Rattus norvegicus: one gene and its partners. The protein of the gene in region 1 interacts with the protein of each later gene in a biochemical or structural test. Links are inferred from orthologs where the notes say so. Each region holds a gene or a part of one and is shown in the gene's direction. Other genes may lie near its edges.

Evidence for each region.
Region 2: of the proteins of Abl1 (region 1) and Atr, one has a biochemical effect on the other in vitro, tested with the Homo sapiens proteins (2 studies listed by BioGRID, with this or other methods). The link is inferred for Rattus norvegicus from reciprocal best matches to the Homo sapiens genes ABL1 and ATR.
Region 3: the proteins of Abl1 (region 1) and Prkn form a complex in vitro, tested with the Homo sapiens proteins (2 studies listed by BioGRID, with this or other methods). The link is inferred for Rattus norvegicus from reciprocal best matches to the Homo sapiens genes ABL1 and PRKN.
Region 4: the proteins of Abl1 (region 1) and Xpo1 interact in a test that uses a peptide from one of them, tested with the Homo sapiens proteins (2 studies listed by BioGRID). The link is inferred for Rattus norvegicus from reciprocal best matches to the Homo sapiens genes ABL1 and XPO1.
Region 5: the proteins of Abl1 (region 1) and Erbb4 form a complex in vitro, tested with the Homo sapiens proteins (2 studies listed by BioGRID and IntAct, with this or other methods). The link is inferred for Rattus norvegicus from reciprocal best matches to the Homo sapiens genes ABL1 and ERBB4.
Region 6: of the proteins of Abl1 (region 1) and Rin1, one has a biochemical effect on the other in vitro, tested with the Homo sapiens proteins (2 studies listed by BioGRID and IntAct, with this or other methods). The link is inferred for Rattus norvegicus from reciprocal best matches to the Homo sapiens genes ABL1 and RIN1.
Region 7: the proteins of Abl1 (region 1) and Crkl form a complex in vitro, tested with the Homo sapiens proteins (4 studies listed by BioGRID and IntAct, with this or other methods). The link is inferred for Rattus norvegicus from reciprocal best matches to the Homo sapiens genes ABL1 and CRKL.

What each region holds. Positions count from the first base shown.
Region 1 is NC_086021.1:35,471,587-35,475,086, forward strand, and holds part of Abl1 (tyrosine-protein kinase ABL1), read left to right. Parts: intron 1-833; coding exon 834-986; intron 987-2,519; coding exon 2,520-2,609; intron 2,610-3,104; coding exon 3,105-3,269; intron 3,270-3,500. UniProt on the Homo sapiens protein: Non-receptor tyrosine-protein kinase that plays a role in many key processes linked to cell growth and survival such as cytoskeleton remodeling in response to extracellular stimuli, cell motility and adhesion, receptor endocytosis, autophagy, DNA damage response and apoptosis.
Region 2 is NC_086026.1:105,379,322-105,382,821, forward strand, and holds part of Atr (serine/threonine-protein kinase ATR), read left to right. Parts: intron 1-91; coding exon 92-324; intron 325-1,472; coding exon 1,473-1,607; intron 1,608-3,342; coding exon 3,343-3,500. UniProt on the Homo sapiens protein: Serine/threonine protein kinase which activates checkpoint signaling upon genotoxic stresses such as ionizing radiation (IR), ultraviolet light (UV), or DNA replication stalling, thereby acting as a DNA damage sensor.
Region 3 is NC_086019.1:52,212,932-52,217,052, reverse strand, and holds the start of Prkn (E3 ubiquitin-protein ligase parkin), read left to right. Parts: upstream 1-1,321; 5' UTR 1,322-1,480; coding exon 1,481-1,568; intron 1,569-4,121. UniProt on the Homo sapiens protein: Functions within a multiprotein E3 ubiquitin ligase complex, catalyzing the covalent attachment of ubiquitin moieties onto substrate proteins. Substrates include SYT11 and VDAC1.
Region 4 is NC_086032.1:101,461,950-101,465,449, forward strand, and holds part of Xpo1 (exportin-1), read left to right. Parts: intron 1-1,212; coding exon 1,213-1,410; intron 1,411-2,086; coding exon 2,087-2,225; intron 2,226-2,410; coding exon 2,411-2,749; intron 2,750-2,844; coding exon 2,845-3,008; intron 3,009-3,500. UniProt on the Homo sapiens protein: Mediates the nuclear export of cellular proteins (cargos) bearing a leucine-rich nuclear export signal (NES) and of RNAs.
Region 5 is NC_086027.1:78,042,807-78,046,965, reverse strand, and holds the start of Erbb4 (receptor tyrosine-protein kinase erbB-4 precursor), read left to right. Parts: upstream 1-1,359; 5' UTR 1,360-1,392; coding exon 1,393-1,474; intron 1,475-4,159. UniProt on the Homo sapiens protein: Tyrosine-protein kinase that plays an essential role as cell surface receptor for neuregulins and EGF family members and regulates development of the heart, the central nervous system and the mammary gland, gene transcription, cell proliferation, differentiation, migration and apoptosis.
Region 6 is NC_086019.1:211,783,934-211,787,906, forward strand, and holds the start of Rin1 (ras and Rab interactor 1), read left to right. Parts: upstream 1-1,173; 5' UTR 1,174-1,309; coding exon 1,310-1,464; intron 1,465-1,608; coding exon 1,609-1,789; intron 1,790-1,888; coding exon 1,889-2,003; intron 2,004-2,092; coding exon 2,093-2,165; intron 2,166-2,275; coding exon 2,276-2,367; intron 2,368-2,503; coding exon 2,504-3,244; intron 3,245-3,492; coding exon 3,493-3,798; intron 3,799-3,973. UniProt on the Homo sapiens protein: Ras effector protein, which may serve as an inhibitory modulator of neuronal plasticity in aversive memory formation. Can affect Ras signaling at different levels. First, by competing with RAF1 protein for binding to activated Ras.
Region 7 is NC_086029.1:97,064,658-97,068,657, reverse strand, and holds the start of Crkl (crk-like protein), read left to right. Parts: upstream 1-1,200; 5' UTR 1,201-1,682; coding exon 1,683-1,993; intron 1,994-4,000. UniProt on the Homo sapiens protein: May mediate the transduction of intracellular signals.

The sequences.
Region 1 (3,500 bases):
TAGTGTTTTGTGGTGTCACTCTGAGTTCTTTGTTGACACATTCCTGTGTTCCAGTATACTGTGCTTCTTCTCCTCATCTCTGGCCGTCTCCTTCCTTGTCCTTTGACAGTACCCTGTAGTCTTCCACAATATCTGTGCTCCAGGGAACAAGATAGTCCGGGCTTCTTCCCTGTCTTAGGTCTCAATCACCTGTTTTTCTAAGGAATCCTGGTTCTTAGTGGGAAGAAGGATGCCACGACTTTGACAGTTCACAAGATTTTTACAAACTGTTGCAGCTGGAAGGGACCTTGGAAGTAATCTCACCTTCAAACAACCCACGGCCCGACAGGCATGTGGCTACAGTCACAGAGCTATGCTCAGAACATGGCAGCTGACTTAGAGCCCTATGCTGCCTACCCGAGGGGGACCCTGTGCCCCAGGAGGCTCACCTTCCCCTCTCTCCCTTGCATGCTTTAGAGTAGCTTGAGTAAACAGCTTTGCTCTGTCCTACCTCTCCTAGGCTATTACCATGGAGAGCCTGGTAACTGTCAATGCTGGGACTGCTCTGCAGGTCTCTCTGCTGCACAGCGTGGAAAATGCCTGTATGTCCTGTGTGTGTTGGGGGCGGGGTGTGTGTTTGGGTGTTTTGGTATGTATGTGTGTGATATGTCTGTTTGGTTGTGTGCATGCTATGGCACACATGTGACTGTCAGAGCACAACTCTGTGGACAACTTCTCTCCTTCCACCTTTATGCCGGGTTTCAGGATTGAAAGGTCATTAGCTTTGTGCAGATGCTACCTCACTGGCCAATGCTCACACACCCTGATAGTCTTCCTCTCCCTCTTTCTTTCAGCATTTGGAGTATTGCTCTGGGAAATTGCTACCTATGGCATGTCACCTTACCCGGGAATTGACCTGTCTCAGGTTTATGAGCTGCTGGAAAAAGACTACCGCATGGAGCGCCCGGAAGGCTGCCCAGAGAAAGTCTACGAACTCATGCGAGCATGTGAGCCTCCCCAACCCATTCAGCACTACTCTGAGGAAATTGCACAAAGCCATTCCAGTGGGCCCTGGCACTCTGTCCCTGTGTTCCCAAGCCATCCATGCAGTGTGACTTTGAGTCTTCCGTGCGCTTATTCCCAGATGTAGTACCTCTGGGTTGGTTTTGTCTCCCTCTGGGACAGCTAGTTTTGGTTTTTGTTTGGTTTTTGTTTTGGATCAGGGTCTTGAACTATGTAGCCCTGACTACACAGTGACTCTCCTGCTTGAACCACACAAGCTCGAGGACTACAGGTATGAGTCACCATGCCCAGGTCGCTTTAAGTTCTTTAAGCATAGAGAGGGTTAGATGTCAACCTGGGTATTATTAGTACAGATCCCTAGGTCCTGCTTCCAAATACCTGGCTACAAATCGCTCCAGATGATAGAACTCTGGTGTTTGTATTGTGCGAGTGTATGAGCGCATCTGTGTGGTGTGCATGTGTGCACATGGCTGTATCATGTGTTCATGTGATCATTCCCTCACCTTTTTTTCCTAGCATATAGTGCTGCTGTCTGTATACTTAGATCTTCCTCACCATGTTCCCTACCTTCATTAATGCTGCTGTCTAGCATTTCAGTTAACAGTTTGAAGCATCCACTCATATTTTACACACTTGTTTGCTTTAATTATATTTTTATTATTTATTTTGTTTGTTTGTTTATGGGGCATGCATTCTACAGTGTACAGTTTTGAAGAGCTGATTCTCTTTTTCTACTGTGTGGATCCCAGTGGTCAAACTTAGCATCAGTCTTGGCAGAGTGTGCCATTTTGTGGCCCTGTGTTTGCTGCTGCGTATAAGGCAGACACACACGATTAGCCTCGTCTCTACATGTAGCACGATATTCCTAAAAGCTGGGCCGTAGGTCCAAAGAATCTGTGCTGTGATAACAAACCAGTGATGTTGCAGACGGTTGTGAGTCCCATGGGTACTGGGAACTGAACCTGGGTCCTGTGCAAGAGCAGCAAGGCTCTGAGCTGCTGAGCCACCTCTCCAAGCCCTAGTCCTTTTAGTCTCGTTGTCATGCTATTGGTGATACAGGCTGTGGTCTCAGTGCAAGGTAAGCTGAGGCAGGAGTATTGCTTGTCAAACAGCCCAGACAGTAATGAGGTCTAATCTCAAAGAAGCAAGAGAGATGCTCGTCTGTGCTAATGGGGACGGTAGACACTGATAGCATCAGTAAGGATGGTGACCGAGGCAGGCTGTTGCCTTGTTAACTCCCTGTCTATCACTGGGGTTTGGAGAAATGTTTATAGATGTGGTTTTTATTATCGGTGTCTCTGGGATTTTGCAAACAGTATTACTGCCTGTATATGATGTCTTCTTAATTCTTAGTGTCTGTCAGAGGACACAGGAGTTTTTGCCATTAGCCTGTCCCAGCCTCAGCCATCAGCAGGCTTGGAATGCCTCTTTCATGTCCAGACTGCTCCTTGGGTGTGGCTAGTTCTGGTTTGTTAGCGATGCTCTCCGGCTGCTCTGACGTGGCCTTCTCTGTCCAGGTTGGCAGTGGAACCCCTCTGATCGGCCCTCCTTTGCTGAAATCCATCAAGCCTTTGAAACCATGTTCCAGGAGTCCAGCATCTCAGACGGTAACATGCCTCCCAGGGGCCTGCAGTGGGTTGAGGGTTGGGTTGAGGCTGGACAAGCCTTCACTTCAGACCTGGTACCAGACAGCACTCTTCAGAGGCTTTGGTGGTGGCTCTGTGTCTGTCAGGTGCAGGCATGCAGAGTTCTAGAACATGCCAAGAGCTGTTTCTTCTGCTTTGTGTTCCTTTTCTCTAACTGCATAAATCTTAAGAAAAAGAGAATCCCAGGAACTGGAGAGCTAGCATGGTGGCTAAGAGGACTTGGGGTCAGTTCTCAGCACCCAGATGATGGTAACCCACGACACTAGTCACAGAGGATCCATTACCAGCTTCTGGCCTCTGCACCCATGTGGTACACAGACATACCTGCAGGCAAAATGCCATACACATAAAAAAAGTAACTTTAAAATAAATTAGAAAAAGAGCAAAGAAAAAAGAATCCCTTGCAATCTGGCATCTTTGCTGATGACTACTGGGTTATGTTTATGTGGTCCTTAGAGGTGGAGAAGGAGCTGGGGAAACGAGGCATGAGAGGAGCCGCCGGGAGCACCCTGCAGGCCCCAGAGCTGCCCACCAAGACCAGAACCTGCAGGAAAACCGCTGAGCAGAAAGATGCACCTGACGCCCTGGAACTGCTCCACACGAAGGGCCTGGGCGAAAGCGGTACGTCCGCCCTTCCCATCCCTCACCCCTCAAACCAGGCAGGCAAGCAGAAGCCGTCAGTGGGCCTGGCACAGAGGGCATCAGTCCCTCCTCAGTGGTCCAGCCCAGGGAAGAAGATTTGCCTCTTGCCCAGGGGAGCCTTTCAGCAGTTGCTTAGACAAGCTGAAAACTGGGACTCCTGCCAAGAAAGCACATCCACCTTTGCTGTGCTCTTCACAGCCCTGTGGGCAT
Region 2 (3,500 bases), on another chromosome or scaffold:
TTTTAAAGCTGTTTTATCAGGGTTATTTTTTCTGTGAAATGAATTGAAATACTGATGTTGTTTGTTTTTCCTGCCTTAAACTTGCCCTTAGGTGGTCGTTCTGATCGTCTGCAAATGAGAAATGATTTGGCAAAAATAAATAGTGTACTCACAGAGCACACAAATCGGTTAGCACCATATCAGTTTTTGACTGCTTTTTCGCAGTTGATCTCTCGAATTTGTCATTCTCATGATGAAGTTTTTGTTGTCTTGATGGAAATAATAGCCAAGGTCTTTCTGGCCTATCCTCAGCAAGCAATGTGGATGATGACTGCTGTGTCAAAGGTAATCATTAGTTAGCCACTTACTGTGTCAAGTTTTTTTTTTTTTGTTGTTGTTGTTGTTGTTGTTGTTGTTTTCTTTTCTTTTTTTCGAAGCTGGGGACCAAACCCAGGGCCTTGTGCTTGCTACCACTGAGCTAAATCCCCAACCCTGTGTCAAGTATGTTTAAAGCAAGTATATAAATACAAATTCCAGGGTCCTGGCCTATATTGTTAGTAATTTTCCTATAGAGAGAAAAATATAGAGTTTAAATATTTTGAGATACTTATCATATGAAATGAAGTTACCAATATGTGAAGAGTAAAGACTTGAGTAGTACTGTCTTTGTGAAGTTTTTAATAAATATTTATAATATAGCCACTTTTTAAAAGATTATTTTTATGTGTATGCGTGTTTTACTTGGATGTATGGCTATGCACCATTTGCATGCCTGGTGCTCAGGCGTCAGGAGAGGAAGTGTTGACTCGCTGGAACTGCAGTTAAGAACAGTTATAAATTGCCATCAGAGTGCTGGGAGTTGAACCCAGTTCCTCTGTGAAAGCAAGTGCTCTTAATCACTGAGCCATCACTCCAGCCATGTGAAGTTTTAAGTGTTTTATTCCAAGATCTTGAAAATCTATTAGCGGGCATATACAAGTTGATTAGTATATTTAATGAGTAAATATTATAGAAAAGTTAGTATAAAGATAAAAGGAAAATTAAAATTCAGACTGTTACTTTTTCTTGTAACTTTTTATGTACTTTTCTAATCCTATTTTAACAGTAAATTTTAATTAAGTTGACAATTATATTTTTACTTAAATATTAGATGATTAAATAACTTTAGTATTAGATAAATTATATAATATTCTTTGACAACACATTTTTGTAATTGGACAAAATTATAAAAATAGCTAACCATTAGTTCATTAAAGTTTTGTTTTATTTTCCTTCTGTTCTGTTGTGCTACGTCTCAAAATATTGGATTGTTTCATCAATGAAGATCCTATCAAAAGTATTCACAGGCTGTATGATTAAAATGGTGTTATCAAATTGATTTCCTAGACGCTTATGTTATAAACTCACATCTTAAATAGTCTTTTAAATTGATTCTTGCCAATCAGCTTTCCTATAGAATTGTATTTAATCCCCACCCCTTTTTTGATTGACAGTCTTCTTATCCCATGCGTGTGAACAGATGCAAGGAAATTCTTACCAAAGCTATCCATATGAAAAAGTCTTTAGAAAAGTTTGTCGGAGATGCAACTCGCCTAACAGACAAGCTACTAGAGTTATGCAACAAATCGGTACGTTCAGATCTTAGTGCACAGCAAGCCATGAGAGATAATATACAGAAGAGTTATATAGAAACTGGTTTGTGAGTTATGCTGTTATGTTTCATTAAAGTTTTAAGTACATCAGTATACACATACCAAAATATATCAAATGGTATATTTTAAATATATATCTTTGTATCTTTTTCCCCGACCCCTCTTCTTCATATGCTAGAGATTGAACCAGAAACCTAATCTTGCTAAACAAGGGCTTTACCACTGAGATATACCTCTACCCCCTGTATGATTTACCTTAATAATTCTGTTGTTTTAATTTGTAACATATGTCCCCCTTTCATATATCCTCAATGTTTCTGAATTTCCCTGAAAGTATATTTTAATAGTTATCAGTAGTTTTAAGTAAAAAATATTAAATCAACTATATAAAATAATATAAATAAATATAAAATATATTTAAAATGCATTAAAAGAGTCTTTGATTATATTGTCATATCCTTAAGTTTTGAAAACTTGCATGTCAGTCTACGTATCAGATAGGAAAATGAATGGAGAGTTTTTTTCTTGGTTAATTGATTGCCTTTAAATAGTGTTAGATATCAAACCCAAGACTTTATCCATAGTAGGCAAGTACTTGATTCATGAACCCTTGATTTTCATTTTTTCAAGGTATATTTCAATGCATAGGCATTGTGATGAAGGAACAAAGATGACTAGTAGAAATCTGTCTGGAATTGCTGGTACATTTGTAAGGAAGTAAGCAGTGGCTATCATCTGGAGTAGTAGTAATTATTTTCAATATGCTTGTGACTGAAGTAGGAAGGTAGATAAAGCAGTAAATCACTGTTCTATGTTAGGATTGGGGGGGAAGCTAAATGTAAGAGATCAAAGTATATGGGGTGATTATTAAAGGGAAAGGTTCTTCATCAGGTAAACCGCTTCATTTGACAATCAAAATCCAGTAACCATTTCTAGGTAAAAAGATAAAGGTTACCCTATTTTTTCCCTTCCTTTCATGAATAACCTATTCTCAAAAGCATAACCTTTCATTATTTCCATTAATTGTATTTGACCTCCGATGTACTTAACACTAGGAAAAATGTACTTATTGGATGCTGGCCCTATAAGTGCTTTACATGTTCAGGTGCTTAGTTCTTTATCTGAAACCTTAGTTTTTTTATCCTAACTACACTTAGGAATTCAATTTTTTTCTCATTTTAAAAGTATTCATACTTACATTGACTATTCTAACTGATGGTAATGTATCAGAATATCCAATAATCAAACACACATAGCATTCATCTTTACATTAAGAAATTCAGTATCGGGGTTGGGGATTTAGCTCAGTGGTAGAGTGCTTGCCTAGGAAGCGCAAGGCCCTGGGTTCGGTCCCCAGCTCCAAAAAAAAAGAAAAGAAAAGAAAAAAAAAAAAAAGAAATTCAGTATCATCTTGTTGTTAAATGAGGTTTGGTAACCAAAAAGAGTTATCTACAGATTTTCCTGATAATAGATCTCTGGTTTCTACTATCTCCTCTGGTCATTAAATACTCCTGTGATAGAGGCACATTATTTATAAGGTAAAAGATTTAAATGAGAAGATTAAAGATACTTAGGACATTGCACACTGTTGAATAATTGAGGTTGTGAAAGTAAAATGTTTAATGTAATTAAAGTTCTGTAATTTAAGGTTAACTCAGAAAAATTGAAATATGCTGTTTGTTTGTTTGTTTGTTTGTTTGTTTGTTTTTAGGTTGATGGAAGTAATTCTACATTGAGCATGAGCACTCACTTTAAAATGCTTAAAAAGCTGGTAGAAGACCCAACATTTAGTGAAATCCTCATTCCTTTGCAGTCAGTCATGATACCTACTCTTCCATCAATTCTGGGTGCCCATGCTAATCATGACCC
Region 3 (4,121 bases), on another chromosome or scaffold:
TGCTAAAATAAGTTATTTACTTACTCACTTTCTAGGAGGTGTACCAAACAGATCTCAGAAAGTTTACAGTTCATTTAGTTTGTATGCTAGCCTAGCATTTAGAAGTCTTGATTAAATCTGATATATTTAGAAAATATTGGGAAAAATGAAATACTATACATTTAACACACATTTGTTAAATAATACTAATATTTACGTATTTTTATATTTTATATTTATATGTAAGTATATTATATTTATATAATAAACTTGTAACTAAGTTTATCTTACTTTAGGTATTATATCAAAGCCTTGGAACTATATATTTGACTGTAGCAGTTTGTAGAAAATGCTTTCCTTTTGACATGATTAGTAGAACTAATTGCTTTTAAATTGTCCTACCAATCAGAGATAATTTGCCATAAAAAGTATCTGAATACCTTCTTTGTTATGTTTGCGATGTTATTCCTCAGTGGCTAAGAGTTCCGATGAGTGAGTGAGTGATTTGCTGTATGGGGAGAGGACAGATGTGTGGACGGAGGGTGAGTAGGTGCAGGGTAGGAGATGGGAGGTGGAGCGTGGAAGGTAGAAGATGTATAGATGAACAGATGATGGGTGGAAGGATGTACAGTAGACGATCGAGAGCGAGGATAGGGGAAGAGAAAGGATGGGTACACGAAAGAGGGTGGAAGGTGGAGCAAAGGCAGGCTAGGTAAGGAAAGGAACTTTGCCAAGAGTTTTGCTTCCTGGATAAAATATCACAATTATTTATTATTATTATTATTATTATTATTATTATTATTATTATTATTATTAACAGTAGCCTTAGTTCTGGTCTGTCTGAGACTGTCTGAAGATGATAGTGGTAATTCACTGATCCCCTGTTTTTCTGTTTGAATTCAGAATAACCCAACCCAAATAACACAAAATAGTCTGAGAGAAAATGACTCTCTCTAATGCCAATCTTAACCTTACTGTAAAGGTAAAGAACTCTGCTGTAGGCTATTGAGACTTCTCCATAACTAACAGTATAAATTGTTCTCTTGGTCAACCTGCAGTGGTGCACACAGACACCAGACAAGAGGGAGAGGTCTCTGAACATACCAACCATGAACATGGTTTTAGGCATACTGGATTTATTGGGAGGGTACATGAGCCTTTGGAGGTGGAAGAGCTACTCTCTCTCCTTCGTCCTCTGTGGCCAGGGCTAACAGTTCAGTGTAAAAGTTAAGCTTGCAAAAGCAAGAGATTGGGAGCCCTGGGATGCCTGTTTCTGCCCTCCTTGTAAATAGTAAGCAAGCCCCTCTTCCTCTTTACTCATCTTGTAGGTGGGAATAGTAAATGCTGTCCCAATTATCTCGCCATGCTCCTGTGAAGATTAACTGAGATAATGTCCGTACAAGCACTTCGAAAATAGAAAGCTGTATCTGAGCCAAAGATAGCGCTATCAGGACACCACCATCACTTGAGATCAATTGCTAGGCACTCCACAGCATAGTGCATGGAACTCCGGGAGAAGAAATGGCTACAGTTATCCAAACATCAGTACTGCATATTCGACGTGGAAACACAATTACTTCTAAGACATGGTGGGATTCTAGTAAAAGTAAATAATGATTAAAATTTACAGAATTGTACTTTCCTTGTATTAATTTCTTTAATTATCATGACCACTGTATGAAGTAATTACTATTATTATTTCCTACTTGACTTAAGATTGATGGAAGGAGAGTAACTGTGAACCACAGTTACAGAGGTCACAAGGAGGGCAGAGGTAAATGTCAAGTCCAGGAAGCAGTTCCTGAGGCCAGGATTACAGCCATGGCATCGGCCTCTTGTTAGATACATTCTTAATTGCATTCCCTACCTCCCATTCTTCATCTCTCATAGTGCTAGTCAGAGATTAAGGAAGGAAATGGAGGAATTCATCCCAGAAATGAGGAAAATTAGAAAGCCAAGGGAGAAAGGGAGGCCAGTGCATAGTCAGGTGGACATAAAGAAGTGTTAGAGCCATGGTGAAATTCTAGGGGCTGCTCTTTCCTGGGACACTAACTCTCTCACCTACCAGAGGGGTTCAGAGTCCTAATCTGTGGTCTGTCTCCAGCCTGGGAAGCTGAGAGCATGAGGAGACATGAATATAGCCACATGAGGTTCAAAGCACTTCTAACTGGACCAGGGAGGAATGGGAAGGCAGGACATGTGACTTACAAGCTCTCTTGAATTTCCAAGTGGTGACAACACATAAAGGTTCATTGGATATCAGCTAATCAAACCCTAGTATATCTCCTACTCTCCACTCATTTTCGCCTCCTGTATATCTGCTCTCAGCAAATGCTATCCTGTCCACAGGCACTGTCCTCTGCACAGACGCTGCCCTCTCCACAGATGTTGCCCTCTTTGCAGACACTGTCCTCTCCACATTCTCTGTTCTCTTGTCAGACACTGTCCTCTCCACAGACACTGCCCTCTCCACACACACTGTCCTCTCCACAGACTCTGCCCTCCTCACAGACACTGTCCTCTCCACATTCTCTGTTCTCTTGTCAGACACTGTCCTCTCCACAGACACTGCCCTCTCCACACACACTGTCCTCTCCACAGACTCTGCCCTCCTCACAGACACTGTCCTCTCCACATTCTCTGTTCTCTTGTCAGACACTGTCCTCTCAACAGACACTGTCCTCTCCACACACACTATCCTCTCCACACACGCTGTCCTCTCCACAGACATTGTCCTCTCCACAGACTCTGCCTTCCCCACAGATTCTGTCCTCCCCACATACTCTGTCCTCTTTACAGATACTGACCTCTCCTCAGATGCTGTCCTCTCCACAGTCTCTGTCCTCTCCATAGTCTCTGTCAGAGAGGACCTCAGATCCCTTGGAGGTGGAGTTGGGGACTTTTTGAGATGTCCCATGTGTACTAGGATTTGAACTCTGATCTTCTGTAAAAGTAGCCATTTACCCCCGAGCCATCTCCTTAGGTCTTGTCTCCAGTGTTATTTTTAATAACTTAATCATTATTACGGATGTACTGTTTGTTCATTTTTACTGAGGTCCTATCTTTATTTGTATTTCCTCACCTTTTTCTGTCTTTGTATTTTCCCATCTCTCATCTGGAATAACACACTGTGTTTAATTATTGCATCCCCTTGGGTTCTTCTAGACTCAGATCATATTTCAGACATGTGTTGCTTTAGTGACCTTGAGGTTTTGAGTTGTGACCAGGCATTTTTGCAATGCTTATCAGCCGTTTTTTATCTGATGTTCTTCTTGGAGATTAGACTGGGGTTGTAGGATTTCAGGTGGGAGCCCACAGAAGAATGGGCCATTCTCAGTGTCCCCTTTCCTGCTGGCCTCCTCACCAAGGAGTGTTTGTCAGGCACCCCCACTGTGGAGGACCTCTGGTTCTCCATGCACATAGGAAGTTACTGTGCATATATGCTCTGCACCTTTGGACAGTTATCCTCTGACTGAGCTTCTGTCAGGTTCCCTTCTACCTTCACGCTAGAGGGGTTCACCACAAGGTGAGTGGCAGAATTTGTGCACTCCTTTTCTGGCTCTTTTCCTTCCAGGATTGCCTTTCTCCTCAGAAGCAAATCCCTCAGGTCTCAGCCTCTTGCTTCACTTAAGACAGCACTGAGGCTTTGCTTACAGGAAGGCTCCCAAGGATAACCACTCTGATACAGTCTATAGTCAATTGAAAGTCTGTATTCCAGTCAACTGGAACTACTCTCAGGCATTTGGGACCCAATTGTAACCCGAGTATGTGTGTCCAGAACACTGGATTTTTGAAGCTTCAGTTGGGTTTCACCAGAGGAGGCAGTTTAACAGATGCTAAGATAAACTCCCTAGGGCACCTTGACCTTGGGGTCCTAGAACATGTTTTGGTAATTTTCCATGGATTGTCCATCAAGGAGATCAAATTCCAATTAAACCTGAAATGCCCTCATCAAGACCAGAAGATACAGGAACCTCTGCACTGTCTTGCCCCGTCACAAATAAAGTAACGAATTTGCAATTCACTAATCTAAGATTATAAAATACTATATGTAAATATTCATGGATACTGCACATGTATATAAATACATATGTGTATTTACTTTATAATTATTCCTTAGGCCAGGATATCACAAATTCTGA
Region 4 (3,500 bases), on another chromosome or scaffold:
AAGCGCTCTACAACTGAGCTAAATCCCCAACCTTAGTATGTTGTGACATTACTATGTTCTTTTATTTTTTCTTTTTCTCTTTCTTTTTTTCGGAGCTGGGGACCGAACCCAGGGCCTTCCACTTGCTAGTCCACTGAGCGAAATCCCCAACCCTGACATTACTATGCTCTTCATTGTTATATGATATTTCATTTTTTTTAAGATTTTATTTATTCATTTTATATATGATGAGTACACTGTCACTGTCTTCAGACACACCAGAAGATGTTACAGATGGTTGTGAGCCACCATGTGGTTGCTGGGATTTGAACTCATGACCTCTGGAAGAGCAGTCAATGCTCTTAACCGCTGAGCCATCTCTCCAGCCCGATATTTCATTTTGAACGTGTTCATGTTTTGTGTTTACTGAGCCTTTATAGTATTTTATTTTGTTGAGACAAAGTCCTCAAAGTAGTGGTGTGAGTGAAATTGGGTTATATATAACCATCCACTCTCAAAGTTCTGTGACTCTAGTCTCTGCTTTACCATCATCTGCCACCATATGGCCTTGTAGCTGACTTCAAACTTGTGGTTTCCTGAGCATGGCGTGCAGTTTGTGCCTTCCTATGAGCTGGCACCAGAGCTATAGGGCGTAGCTGTGTGAAGAGTCTGTATTGTTACGTACTCTGGAAACATTGGAGGGCATGTTAGAAAAAAATTTGCTGCCAGTTTTCAGTCTGTTCGAGGAATGAAATTCCTTATGTATTTCAAAGATTTATTTATTTATTTTTTTATTTTATTTTATTTTATTTTGTATATGAGTACACTGTAGCTGTCTTCTAACACACCAGAAGAGGACATCAGATCTCATTACAGATGGTTGTGAGCCACCATGGGGTTGCTGGGATTTGAACTCAGGACCTCTGGAAGAGCAGTCGGTGCTCTTAACCACTGAGCCATCTCTCCAGCACCCTCCTTATGTATTTCAAATAATAGTTTTTTGGTTTTGCTTTTTGAGACAAGGCTTCCTCTGTAGCTCTGGCTGGCTGTCCTAGAGCTCACACTGTAGACAAGACTGACCTCCACCTGGCTCTCTACCTCCCAAGTGCTGGGATGGGATTAAAGGCATGTATGTGCCTAGATTCAGAATATTAGTTTCTAATTCTTACTAAGTTTGGGGAAGCAATTTGAAAATTTTGTGATAATACTAATTCCTTTGGTCTTAATGTGTAGGCTCTTCATTACATGTTGTTGGTGTCTGAAGTGGAAGAAACTGAAATTTTTAAAATCTGTCTTGAGTACTGGAATCACTTGGCAGCTGAGCTCTACAGAGAGAGTCCATTTTCTACATCTGCTTCTCCATTGTTATCTGGAAGTCAGCACTTTGATATTCCTCCTCGGAGACAGCTGTACTTGACCGTGTTATCCAAGGTAATGATGAACTAACCGGTGGTGAGCGCTCTCCAGCCTTACTATAGCTTTGATGCCTAAAGTGTTGGGAAGAGAACTTGAGAGGTTTTCCAGTTGTCAAGAATGTTTTAGAAGGATGTTTTTTAAGCTAACATCCTTGCATCATTTGGATTTACTAAAGTGTATGTTGTTCATTGGCTATCCCCGATCTAGTCATTCAATAAAACATGAAGTCTATAGATTAGAAGTTGACTGTTTATTGATAGGATCAAAAACACAGATCAAACGGGGTGATGACCTTTAATACTAGCACTCAGGAGGCAGAGGATGTGGATCTCGAGTTTGAGAACAACCAAGGCTATCCAGAAAAACCAAAAGAGTAAATTTTGAGATTAGAAAGCCTTCCCACTGCTGAGATTACAGACTTGCATCACAGAACCAAGCATTTTGCAATTGAAAGTGTAGGTAGGTCTTAATTAGTTGAGACTGACCTTGACCTCTTGGTCTTCGTGGATCTGCCTCCCAGGTTTTCACCAGCGTGTATGGCTGGCTATGCCTTAATTGAAAGTTTTATTTCCAACTTGGTAGCCAGTCTTAGCCTCTAAATAGGGGAGGGATCCACAGTCCTGTTGACCTATATTTGATGTGGCTTCTAAATGTCTTAACACAGTTCCTTTACTGGTTTATTGATCAATAGGTTCGTTTATTGATGGTTAGTCGCATGGCTAAACCAGAGGAGGTACTGGTTGTAGAAAATGATCAGGGAGAAGTTGTAAGAGAGTTCATGAAGGATACTGATTCCATAAATTTGTATAAGAATATGAGAGAAACATTAGGTAAGTAAATAAATGACAATTTTTATACTTTTTTGCCATATTTGTGAAAAGTAAATGTTTGGTCCAAGTTCTACATTTACCTGACTCCTTTAGAAACCATATGCTTACCAGTATGCTCTTAAACCTTAGCAGAAAAAATTTTGTTTTCATGTGAAACATCTGCATTTTTCTCTTGGTTTTTGTAGTTTATCTTACCCATCTGGATTATGTAGATACGGAAATAATAATGACTAAGAAACTTCAAAATCAAGTGAATGGTACAGAATGGTCATGGAAAAATTTGAATACACTGTGCTGGGCAATAGGCTCCATCAGTGGGGCGATGCACGAGGAGGATGAGAAGCGGTTCCTTGTCACTGTTATCAAGGACCTCTTAGGATTATGTGAGCAGAAGAGAGGCAAGGATAATAAAGCCATCATTGCATCGAATATCATGTACATAGTAGGCCAGTACCCACGGTTTCTGAGAGCACACTGGAAATTTTTGAAGACAGTAGTAAACAAGCTTTTCGAATTCATGCATGGTAAGTCTCACCTAATAAACTCATGGTATCTAATTTTACTTTTTATTTGTTATGTTGAACCAAAAGTGAATGAATGAATGTTTTTACTTTGCCAGAAACCCATGATGGAGTCCAGGACATGGCTTGTGACACATTTATTAAAATAGCTCAAAAATGCCGTAGACATTTTGTTCAGGTTCAAGTTGGAGAAGTAATGCCGTTTATTGATGAGATTTTAAACAACATAAATACTATAATTTGTGATCTTCAGCCTCAGCAGGTATACATGTCATATCATAGTGCTTATTATTAAACGTGTGTGAGCTTTTGCTTGTGTGTGTGCATGCATGTACACCTCCTATTTCACTGGTGCATGAAGAAGCTGGGAAGAGGGCATCAGAGACCATGGAGCTGGAGTTACAACCTTGACCACGGTGTGGGTGATTGGGCTTAAACCTGTGTTCCTGGCTCTGCAGCCAGTCCTCCTAAGTGCCAAGTCCCTGCCCAGTCCTTTGTGGTTTATAGAAGTGATGTGCTCATGGGTCATGGGTGGAGGGCAGCCTAGCACTTCACAGTGGGCACTGCTCTTGTAGAGAGGACTTGGGTTCCCAGCATCCAGATTTAATTACTCCTGTAATTCAGGGTTTGAAGTTCTCCATTGTCATCTTCCGGTCTCTTCAGGCATGTACACTTATGCACACATAGCTCCCCATTCCCACATGCATCCACACGGTCAAAGCTACAGAAACAGGCTCAAAATCGGGAAAATAAG
Region 5 (4,159 bases), on another chromosome or scaffold:
AGAGTCAAAGGATGTGGTTTCACAAATATGGGTTTTTAAGTTTGGCTCAATGTCATCTTGGGAAGGTGGGAGAGACGGCGTCTTATTTGGGAAGACAAGAACTGTTGGCAGGTTTTATTTTACCTGCAAGGCTACCAGCTACCTGCAATATCCATTTTAAAGTACTAAGCACGGAACGTTCTGGGGTGATGGAGAGGGACCGAGATATTTTTTTTCCCAAAGCAACACTGACTTTCTATTTCTAGGGAAAGTCGTGCGTGTGGACTGATGCCTTGGAGCAATAAAGAAAATGTCCTGTTCTTGTGTCAAAAATTCCTTCAGCAAGCATTCCCTCTGGTGGACTGACTTCTCGGCGGGCCAGCTGTCCAGGGCCTCTGCCAGGGCAGTCGCAAGGGGAGCGTTTCAGACTGTGGTCTCCACTGAGCCTCTCAGATCCTGCTTCCCCTAGGAGCCCCTACCAACACCGTGCTCCCACTGCCTGACAGGTGTTTTCCCAACTCTAGGGGCAGTGGATTTTGGGGAGTGTCTGAGCCAATAAGATTTCTCCTTAGGGGGAGGGCGTGGCTACATGGGTCAGAGCAGGGGCGGGGCTTGCGCAGCGGAGGAAAGCCTGGCTGGTTGCGTGGAGGGTTGTTTGATTCCCACCCCCACTCCCCTCTTTTTTTCTTTCTTTTCTTTTCTTTTCTTTTTTAAAAAATCTTTCTCCCTGAGTCTTATTAATTTCTCTGTGGGGCTGCGGCTGGAGACCGCGGAGCGTTGGAAATGACGCTCGGAGCTTTAATTACTGCAATGGCTGGACAAGTGTGAGGAAAGCTGACAGTGGAAAAAAAGGGGCACAGGATCGGGGAGAAGGAAAGAAGCACCCCCCCTCCTTTTCCCTCCAGATTTGGACAGGAGATGCAAGGAGACTGAAGAGAGAGCTGAACATAGCCTGGTTTTGGGGGGAGAGGCCGGAACCCTGCCGCCTCTTCGCAATCAACTTTTTTTGGAAGCCTTTATTCCCCCTCTTTCTTTTTATTGTTGACCAACCAGTGAGAAGGAGAGAGAGCGAGCGAGAAAGTGAGGAGTGAACGGGCGAGCAGAGGATCACTCCGGAAACTAGCTGTACGGTTGTGCTCGGAGCACCAGCCGCACAGTCGCGCACACTCCCATCCGCGCGCCCTCCTTCGCGGCCCCTTGCTGGGTCCGCGGGTCCCCGGGTCCTGGAAGCCGCCACCAGCGCCGACTGGCTCGCCAACCCCGGGAAGCCCGTGCACAGAGCGCGCCGCGCCCGCCCCCCTCGCGCCCCCCACGCGCTCCCGGCTGAGGGGGGGAGATCTCCTCCGCGTGCCCGCAAGTGGCTATGGTATTTGGACATGTAATTGTCAGCGCGGGATCTGAGACTTGCCAAAAATGAAGCTGGCGACGGGACTGTGGGTCTGGGGGAGCCTTCTGGTGGCAGCCAGGACCGTCCAGCCCAGCGCTTCTCAGTCAGGTGGGTCGCGGTCTCGCGGTTCCCAGTCGCGCTCCAGCTGTTGAACCCGCCACCGCCTCCGGTGGCTCCCTTCTCCCCTCGTTCCTCTGTCACCCTCCGGCTTGAGGGACCGTAGGGACCTTGCTTCTGGCTTGGGTCGCCCCTTGCTCCATCCCAAACTTACCTTTGTGTGTGCGTGCGTGCGTGTGTTTTTATTGATGCTACAAATGACTCCTCTTTCTTGCCTCCCTCTGTATTATTGTCCCCCCTCTCGCCCTCTCTTTAGCCCCCTTCTTTCTTTCTGGCGCGTTTTCTGGGAGCCTAAGCGGGATCGCTTCTGGTGGCGCCCGTTGTTCGGGGCGTGGGAGACCTAAGCCCCGTCAGTGGAGGTTCCCTCCTCCTCCGGCTGGGAAGGGAAAAATAATCAAACCAAACCGGAGAATCTCTGCACCTCTTCGGGCCGCCAGGAGGTTCCCGGGCTGAGCCTGGCTGGCCTTCCCGGGGTGCAGGGCTGCGGCGGAGCGCGGCTGGGGAGCGGGGTTGGCACCTGAGCAAGCTGGCACGCGGCCGCCGGCCCGAGTCTCCCGTACCCTGCGGGGTCACATCGGACGCTCAGCCCTATCCGGGCAGCTGGAGCGCACCGGGTGCGCGCCTCGGCCAGAGGCCAGGGACTCTGGGCCTTCTTGGTTGGCATCTCGGGGCTGTCTTTCGATTGACTTGGGGCGAGAAGGGGGGGGGGGCTGGCTCGCCTGCCAGCAAGATCTCTTAAGAAAAAAAAAATCCTGGCATACTGAGCCCGGAGCCCGGCCTTCCCTCCCGGTGCTGGTCTTGGCTCCGGGAAGAGTTCTTCCAGTAGTGCAACTTGGGGTTGGCCTGAACTTCTGTTTACTGCCCCGCCAGGCTGCAGAGCCCGCGGGTGGCACTCATTGACTTAGCCCGAGGCGGGCCGGGTGGCGGCTTCCTGAGTGCCGCCACTGTTGGCCCGATCGCCCAAGCCCTAGGTATTTGGACAGAAAAACGACTAATTGACCCCGAGAGGCAGCACAGAGTCGCTGGCGTGCTGGGGCCGCCAAGGCCAATGACAGCGGCTGAGACGTAGAGGAGCTCAAAGTTTTTTGACTCTTGGGAGTTTCTCCCGGATGAGAGGAGGGGACACGAAAGGACTAAGGAGAACCGGTGTGTCTGACCCGGCTGAGAGGGGCGAGAAGAGGGCTTTTGGAGAAGGCAGAGAGATTTCCGGAACCTTCCGGGGCTGGTGGCGGGAACGTGGGAGTCAGCTTGAGAAGATAAAGCGTTCAGCAGTGGCGACAGGGAGAGCTTTAGGTCCCTAGAGGGTGTCCTTCTGACCTCACCGAGAAAGCGGCTGCTTGCTAGTTTTCCCGCTCCGCCCCCGCTCCCGCCTCTTCCTCCTCGCCTAGTAAATAACAAGTTACAATCTCTGAGCTGTTCAAAATGACCTTCGAGTGGCACAAGCTCGCCATTTGTGCTGGCCGTTTGCATACTCCCAGTGACTCCGAGATTCTTCGTGCATTCCAGATCCTGCGCTCCAGCCACCTCTGGAATCAGAGCGGCAGCAAGGACTTGAGATTCCAGGCGGCCGCCTAGATACATCCCTTTCTAGCTTCCCACTCGGAGCCCCTTGCCTTTCCCTTCAATGGGTTGATTATGCACATTGACCCATTCAAAGACACTCGCAACTGTCATGCAGGCTTAGCCGAGAGGAATTTCTATCAGGCCACCCTACCAGGGGGCTGTCTGGCATGGCCTGGGCCGCTGGGAGATCCCCCCTCAAGTCCACAGCAATTGGTATTAACTCTACAGCTCCCGGTTGGGCTATGCCGAAGAGCCCTTTTCAGAATTTAGGCAAGGAATGTAATCCAAATTAGTTCTGTAGCTGTCCCCTTCCGCGTCTCAGACGACACCAGCTTGCTCCTTAGCTCTCTCTGCTCCTTTCCCTGGGCGAATTGTCAGACCCACAAGTGAGCCCATTTAGAAGCACAAGGATTAGCGTGCCATTGTTGTTTCGTGTGTGTGTGTGTGTGTGTGTGTGTGTGTGTGTGTGTGTGTGTGTGACTCTGTACTTGAAATTCTGGGGACACAAAAGAGAGACTCACTTGTTCAAAACACAAAGTGATCTAGATGAAAGGGCCGCACAAAGAAAAGCTCTCGGGTGCATCCCTGGTATAATTGCAACAAGCATACTTAGGTGATCTATTGGAAACTGTCTGTGCCCCCAGGGACTTCTTTTTTTTCCAGGCGCCTCCACCGCACCTGGCAGAGAAAGTTCAGCTGGTTTTAATGTAGTGCTATTATAAAAACAAGACGCTGTCTGGTGAGAGCGAGGCTCTGTGTTTGCGCCTGTGCGTGTGTGGCTGTCTATCCAAGTAAATACATAGCGCGCGTCTCCTCTCTCGCGGTTAGCAGTCGGCAGCAGTTTGGAGGAGTTTGTTTTGGTCCAAATGAGAAATTAAGTGCGGATAAGTAAACTAAGCTGCCAGAGGGCGACAAGATGTTGAGTGAATTGCTTTTAGATGAAACAAATTAAGGAAACGAGGGAAGACAATCTGCTTCTCGCATTATTAGACACGCTTGGAGTTCAGGGGGAAGTGGCATATTTTTGAAATGCTAATTTCTTAAGCAGAAGGAATGCACCTTATTTACTGCTGGATGTGAACGGAATAAAAACATACAGTGGGTGATTCCCTT
Region 6 (3,973 bases), on another chromosome or scaffold:
TTCTACCCTTCTAGGACCCTGACCCTGCATTTACACTCGGAGGGTCCTTGGGGCAGCTGGCACCGCACACAGGATTAACGTTTCTCTGCAAAGGCAGGGGGTTACTTACTGCTGGACTCCTCTGCTCTCCTTGGGATCTGTATAACCAACCGGCCCTGACGCTGACCTGGCCAAGCAAGACCGTTGTCTCCATCCCTGAGCAGCCCACCCCTCCCCAAAGAGTAACTTCTCAGTGTCCCCCACAAGAAGACAGGCCTCATCCAGAGTCAAAGCAGCAACCCTCCTGACTAAACCCTGGTCCTTGGCCACTGAGTCATGAGCCAGGCCCCGCTGCAGGAGGGACTCCTGCCAGAGACATGTTGGGTCTTGCCCATCCTAACTGCCACTGGGGAGTTGGCTTCCCAGGCTTTCTCAGGGCCATTCCTGGTGTCTGCCTCTCAGATCCCAAGGACTGGAATAAAATTGGACCTGGATATGACTGCTGTGTGGTTGTTGTATCTTACAAGGGAATCAAGGCTTTTGTGGGGAGCACCTAAGACAGACTTCTGGGGTCCCTACAGTTTGAGACATTAGTTCTTAGAGAAAAGCCTGAGGAAGGAAGTTGGGACCAGGGCAGGCAAACAGTCGAAGCACGTGGCCTCGGGTGGGGAAGGGGCTTCTGCACATTTCTGGAGGTCAGGTCATGTCTGCACCTGCCCCAAACACTTGGCAAATTGGCAAGGCGGGCTAGCTAGCAGGGTCTGTGTGTGGGAGACAGCTAGCAGCAGCACCATGTGCTGTCGACCTCACAGCCACACGCCCCCTCTGCTTAGCAGTGAGTGTCAGAACCACCCCCAGAACCTCAGTTAAGCAAAGAGCTTAGTTTCCATGGAGACACAGCATCCTTTCTCCATAGCAACCTGAAATCACAAAACCCAAGTTAGATTCAGGAATGAGTCATCTGCAACCAGTAGGGGGTGCTCTCCCACAAGGCTGACCCCGCCTTCAAGGCTGGAACAGATGAGCCAGTGACCACAGACTTCTTAAGGTGACCCAGGGGTGCGGCTTGGGCCTGTGGGAACTTGGTTGGCCGTGTTTAACCCCTCCCTATCCCACTGCATAGTGTGAGGAGGCTACAGGAAGTGCTGTGTGGAGGTGCTCCTCCCACAGCGGGGGCCCTGATAGACTCTAGTGTGGAAGCCTCTGCCATTCAAGACTGGGCCAAGAGCAAAAGAAGTGGACACTGGCTACATGGAGTGGACATACAAGAGTTAACTGGCGGGGTGTGACCGGGCGAACCGCCTTCAGGAAGTGTTACTCACCGCCAGGAATGTGCACGCCTGTGCCTTGGGGGTTGGATTCTCTTCCTGAGTCCCAGGAGAAGCTGAAGGAGCTCCCAGCCATGGAAGACCCTGGTGAGACCGAAGCACACCCTCTGGGAGCCACCAGCCTGAACTTTGTACCTGGGTACCAACAGGAAGAAAAGTTAGTAAAGTCGGGAGATCAGCCAGGTGCAGGGGGTGAGGGCAGTTATAGGAAGATCTGGCAAGGACAGGAGAGATGGGAAGCCCCAAATGGGAAGAGGTGTTCACCCAAGACCCCTACTCAAGTCTGGGTGTCTGCCCCCAGGCCATCTCCAGACCCACTGTATGACACACCTGATGCCAGAGGGGTTCAGGCAGGCGGGTCCCAACAACCAGCACGCACAGTGAGCTTGCGGGAGCGGCTGCTGATCACCCGGCCTGTGTGGTTACAGCTGCGGGCCAACGCTGCAGCCGCACTGCACGTGCTGAGGACAGAGCCTCCGGGGGTGAGTCTCTCCCGTTCCTAAAGGTCTAGCCGGACAAGACTGGGAGGGAAAGGGCCTGGACGTGGAGATCCTGAGCCTCCTAATCTTGATCACTCGCAGACCTTCCTGGTGCGGAAATCTAACACTCGCCAGTGCCAGACTCTATGTGTGCGGCTGCCAGAAGCTAGTGGCCCCTCTTTTGTCTCCAGCCACTATCTCCAAGAGAGTCCTGGCGGTGAGGAGGGTGGCCTAGAGGGAAGGGGCTGGAAGACAGGCAGGGGAGGGAGGTTCCCAGAGAACGGCCTCACTCCCAATGTCTCTCAGGCATCTCTTTGGAGGGCTCAGAGCTCACATTCCCGGACCTGGTCCAGCTCATCTGTGCATACTGTCATACCAGGTGAGCCTGCCAGCAGGGCACCTGGTGACCCCTGGGCCTGCCTCCAGGGACTGCCCACCCTCTGCATCTGAGCACCACTCTCTCTTGACTGCACTTTGCTCTGACCTTAGGGACATTCTTCTCCTCCCTCTCCGACTCCCCAGAGCCATTCATCAGGCAGCCACCCACAAAGAGCTGGAGGCCATCTCCCATCTGGGCATGGGTAAGGGTCCCCTGCAGCCTGTTACACAGATGGACACATAGAAGCCAAATGGGGGGAAGAAAGAACAACCAAGATTTTTCTTTGTGGGTACTCTCCAGAGCCAGCTCTGAGGTCCCCATTGGTTTCTGATTGCTAGAGTTCTGGAGTTCCTCTCTCAACACCAAGAACCAACAGAGACCTTCAGAAGCTCCGCAGATACCCCGGCTGAAGGCTCGCTCCCCTCAAGAGCTGGATCAGGGCACTGGTGCAGCCCTCTGCTTCTTCAACCCCCTCTTCCCCGGGGATCTGGGCCCCACCAAACGTGAGAAATTCAAGAGGAGTTTCAAAGTGCGTGTATCCACAGAGACCTCCAGCCCTCTGTCTCCACCTGCTGTGCCGCCTCCTCCAGTCCCCGTTCTGCCAGGGACATCTTCCAGCCAAACGGAAAGACTGCCCCCTCGACAGCTGCTGCAGAGGGAGAGCTCAGTGGGATACCGTGTGCCAGGAAGTGCTTCTGGTCCTAGTCTTCCTCCCCTACCTTCACTTCAGGAGGTGGACTGCTGCTCCCCCAGCAGCTCAGAGGAGGAGGGTTCTTCAGGAAGCCCTACAACCTCCCCACGCCTAAGCCGCCCAAGGCACCGGCGGCCTCTGCTTCGGTCCATGAGTTCTGCTTTCTGCTCTCTGCTGGCACCAGAGAGGCAGGTGGGCCGGGCAGCTACAATGCTAATGCACAACCGATACACAGCTGTGGGTCAGCTAGTGCAGGACCTATTGACCCAGGTTCGTGTTGGTCCTGAGTCCCGGGAGTTGCAGGGCATCCGACAGGCCCTGAGTCGGGCACGGGCCATGCTGAGTGCAGAGCTGGGCCCTGAGAAACTGCTACCACCAGAGCGGCTGGGTAAGGCCGAGCCCTGGCCTGCACCGGTTCATGTCCCTGGCTCTCCATCCTCCCCTGTCTCCCTCTCTCCTTGACTTTGGTACCTAATGACTGCTGCTTACCCTGCACCCCACCCCCACCCCTTCTCACTACTGGTGCAGGGAATTCCATCTTCTCCTCCTCACCCTTCTCCCTATCTCCTGTCTTGGCGAGGGACTCCTGCTTTTCCAGGCTTCTTTCCCCTGACAGCAACAACTCTCTTCTTGCAGAATTGGTCCTGGAGAAATCCCTGCATCGCTCTGTTCTCAAGCCTCTTCGACCCATTCTAGCTGCCCGCCTGCGGCGCCGACTTTCCACAGACGGTTCCCTTGGCCGCCTAGCTGAGGGCTTCCGCCTGGCCCGGACCCAGGGGCCTGGAGCCTTCGGGTCCCACCTGAACCTTTCTTCCCCAGTGGAGATAGAACCAGTGCGTCAGAAGCTGCTGCAGCTCCTTCGTGCCTACTCGCCTAGTGCCCAGATCAAGTGGCTCCTGCAGGCCTGCAAGTTGCTATACACAGCCCTGAAAACCCAGGCAGGTATGACCCCCTTACCCCAACCACTTCCCCCAGCTCCACTCTTTCAAAGTAGAGGCTGTGCACTACCCACTTCCACAGCAAGCCGGTTCCAGAACCCCAGAGCTGCAAGCAGCATAGAAGGATCCAATCCTCTATTCCAGGAACTCTAGAGAACATTGTCTTTCTTCCCTGTAAC
Region 7 (4,000 bases), on another chromosome or scaffold:
TCATATAGCTCAGCTGGCCTTGAACTCATGGTCCTCCTACTGCCATCTCCCCAGTGTTGGGATTACTGGTAGTGCCACCATCACTGGTCTGGGACATGCCTTCCTGTTCATCTAATTTGGGAATGCTGTGACCAATAATCCAGCATCAGTTTTTTGTAGATTTTTCACAATGGTCATTCGTTTAACAATTTTCTGATCATTCAAGACTAGATGTGGTTTTAAGGCGGGCAAAATAAGACAGTATTCCTGTTGTAATAAAATTTCATCCTGTCCTGTTAGTGGTGGCTCACATCTTTAATTCAAGCACAGGGAAGGCAGAGCCCAGTAGATGTGAATTTGAAGCCAGCCTGGTTTATAGTTAGTTCCTGGATAGCCAGGGGCACACAGAGAATTCCTATCTTGATTGGTTGATAGATAAATAAATAAATAAATAAATAAAGAAAGAAAGAAAGAAAGAAAGAAAGAAAGAAAGATAGATAGATAGAGAGATCGGTCCTAGTGTTGTTGGAGAGAGAAAACATGTTGGGAAGGCACAGCTGGAACGGCTGAATGGCAGGAAATGAACTTTTGGAGAGAGACCAAAGGTCTGGAGCAGGCAAAACCTGCAAGCCAGATACAAGTGTTGCATTTCTCTTGCTACATCTCAGAGCCTGAAGTGGCCAAGTCACCATCATCACACTGTCCTCGTCTTAAAGCATTAGTCAAACTGACCTTCACCATCATTCCACGTGTACCAAGTAGGATCACTTAGGGTAGGCGTTATTCAGTAACCTATTTGATGGTCAACTCACTGCCTAGGTCATGCCCTTCCTAAGCCACCTGACTTATCAGGGCCTTCAGGCTTAAAAATCACCTGAGGGCCACGCCTCCCTGTCCAGACATCCAGCCATCACGCTATGCTTTGTTCCCAGAAACAGGTTTTCAAAACGCTGTTCCCTCTCGGGTCCAGTTGTTTTCCTGCTAAGCCCGGTAGGCCTTACAGCAGCAGCCACTCAGAGGCTGCTTTGCGATCCAGGAAGGGCTTGACCCTCTGCCTCCTCCCGGAACGCGGGAGCCCGCACGAGTGGCTTAGGCTGGAACCCTCGCGAACGCACTCCTGATTGGCCGCGCCCAGTGACGTCAAAGGAAGAGCCCCTGCGGTGGGGGTAGCGCCCAGCTCCGCGCAAGCGCAGATAGAGTACGCTGGACCAAGGGGGAGGTGCCCGGTCGCTTCTCCCGCGTCCGCCATTTTGTTGCTGTGGCTATTGGGAACGGGTAGGGTAGGACGGTCCGGGAGGCGCGACTGTTGTTGGAGTGCGGTGCTTCGTGTGACGGCGAGGAACCGTGCGGGCTCTTGAGGCTGCGGAGCCGGCGGCTTCCAGGACAGAAGTCGCTGGATCCTACTCCGGACAGCTGAGAAGCCCGAGGCGGCCTCTGCTACTGCTCTGTTTCGCCCACCTCGACCCAGGGGTTTTGCCCACTGTTCCCGGACCGGCTCTCTCCGAGAGGCGGCCCTGTGCAGGAGGGCGGTGGCGGAGGATGCTGCGGGGCCCGGAGCCTAGAGGAACGTCCTGACCAAGCCCTCTGATTGTTCCTCGAAGTGTTCGAGAAGAGGCCCTTCCTCGACCCCAAAGCCGACAGCGGGTAAAGGCTTCCAGAGCAAGCGAGAGCAGCAGACGCCGCCCATCCCCGGGCCCAACACCATGTCCTCCGCCAGGTTTGATTCTTCAGACCGTTCTGCCTGGTACATGGGGCCAGTGTCTCGCCAGGAGGCGCAGACCCGTCTCCAGGGCCAGCGCCATGGCATGTTCCTAGTCCGGGACTCATCTACCTGCCCTGGGGACTATGTACTGTCCGTGTCCGAGAACTCGCGTGTCTCGCACTACATCATCAACTCCCTGCCCAACCGCCGCTTTAAGATCGGGGACCAGGAGTTTGACCATTTGCCGGCCTTGCTGGAGTTCTACAAGATCCACTACCTGGATACTACCACCTTAATCGAACCAGCGCCCAGGTAGGCGAGCTCCTGCCCTTTTCGGGCTCGGAACCTGACCTGCGGAGGGTCGGTCAAAGATTGAAATTTGGGGGTGGGGGTAAGGGATACTCCCTTTTCTCATTCTGAACCAGAAGACATTCGGATTGGAAGGCCAATGTCAGGATCTGGGTTGGATGAAAGGATGCATTTTATTTAGACATTTAGTAGTGCTTGCATTGTTTAAATCACCACCACCCCCAAGCCCACACATACATAGTTTTGTCACTTTAGTTGACTGTAATACTAGTGCAAAATTCTTATTAACGACGTTAAAATATATAGACTATCTTGAGTTTCTGAAGATAGCCATGACTACTACTTTCTCGAAATTCATGTACACCATTTAAGGTTTTTGTAGCTCCTGCATCTGTCAGCTAACTGGCCTTCAGCCTTTGGAATAATCCTTAAAATAGATCGAAAGGGTAGAAATCTCAGAATCTGATGCTGTAGCACTTAAAAAAACAAAAAACCAAAAAACTGGAATTACCAAGGAAAGAGATTGAGGTTTTATTTGAGGGAATTTGTATCATCACTGTTCCTTCCGCAGGGTGCAAAGTGTATTTACCTTCATTCTACATTAATTCTGTTTTTTTGGGGTTTTTTTGTAATTAAGTCTAGTTGTTTAACATATACTTTAAAGACACCCAAGTAGCGCTAGACGGGAGAGATACACGCCCCTAATCCTCTAAGGAAAGAGGACCTTGATTCCAAGCCAAACTGAGCTGTAGCAAGACCCTGCCTTAAAGAAAAAGACACTGATCCCCAAGTGTTCTCTTTTTCAATTAAAATGCATTATTTTATAATTTGCTTTAATTTTCCTAATAATATCATCAAATGATACAAGTGTTAATTGAAAACATATCTAGACACTTTAAAAGATATTTTACTGCCCCGTTTATTTCTAAGCTATTCTAAGAAAGAATTGAGGACTGATTTAGATTTAAGGTGAGGTGACTTCATAGAGGTGAAATTTGCTCAGGACTTTGAAATTGAAAAGATAGTATAATTAATTAAAGGCACCTACTTAAATCCAGAGTTTCTTCTTGAGGATAGAAGAATAAGCTGGGATGGTACAGTGAATGTATGTACGGTTAACGGCCAAACTCTGGATTTTAGAGTGTGGAGAAGGGCTAAGTGGTGATGAGGAGGGAAAGTGTGGTCCCCAGACCCACGCAAGCGTGGAAGGAGAGAGCTGAGTCACAGAGCTGTCCCTTAGCCCGGTATGCGCATCATGGCAAGCGAGTATCCTCACACAAGTACGTTTTAAAAATGTGAACACAGAAAGGTGATTGTAAAGAGTAATGCTAGCAAGAGGAGGACACTCAAGTTCTGTGAAACATGAAGTTCCTAGGCGATGCTGGAAGGTGTAAGAGCTTGGAGAAACCTAGGAAGGATAATGTTGGGTGATACAGCTAAGTAAATTACTCTCTTATTTGTGGAAGTGGATTATATTATTGACTTCGGGCCTTTATTAAAACATGCTTGCAGCATGTGACAGGTATTGGAGAAAGTCTAAGTTATTAGAGTCACCTCAAAGAGGGGAATGAATACTGCAGTGGCTTCCTGCTATTTACAGATCTTACTCTACTTCATGTGTCTCTCAGGTACCAAATGTAATTTCCTGAGTTTTTCCTTAGCTCTACTTGACATGCATTCCTATCTTTTCTGTCTTGCTTAATTTCCAAATGAAAGAAATAACCAAGTCATAATTATTCCAAATTTGATATAACTGTCCCTTGTATAGCTGCAAATTGTACATTTTAAATTTTAGAACAGATGGCAGTGTACCTTGAGGGATACTCTTTTAGTATCTCAACTTAAATGTAATAATTACTGATATTCTCCTTTTTTTTTTTTTTTTTTGGTTCTTTTTTTCGGAGCTGGGGACCGAACCCAGGGCCTTGTGCTTCCTAGGCAAGCGCTCTACCACTGAGCTAAATCCCCAACCCCCTGATATTCTCCTAATTGATCTTATGTTGTATGGTA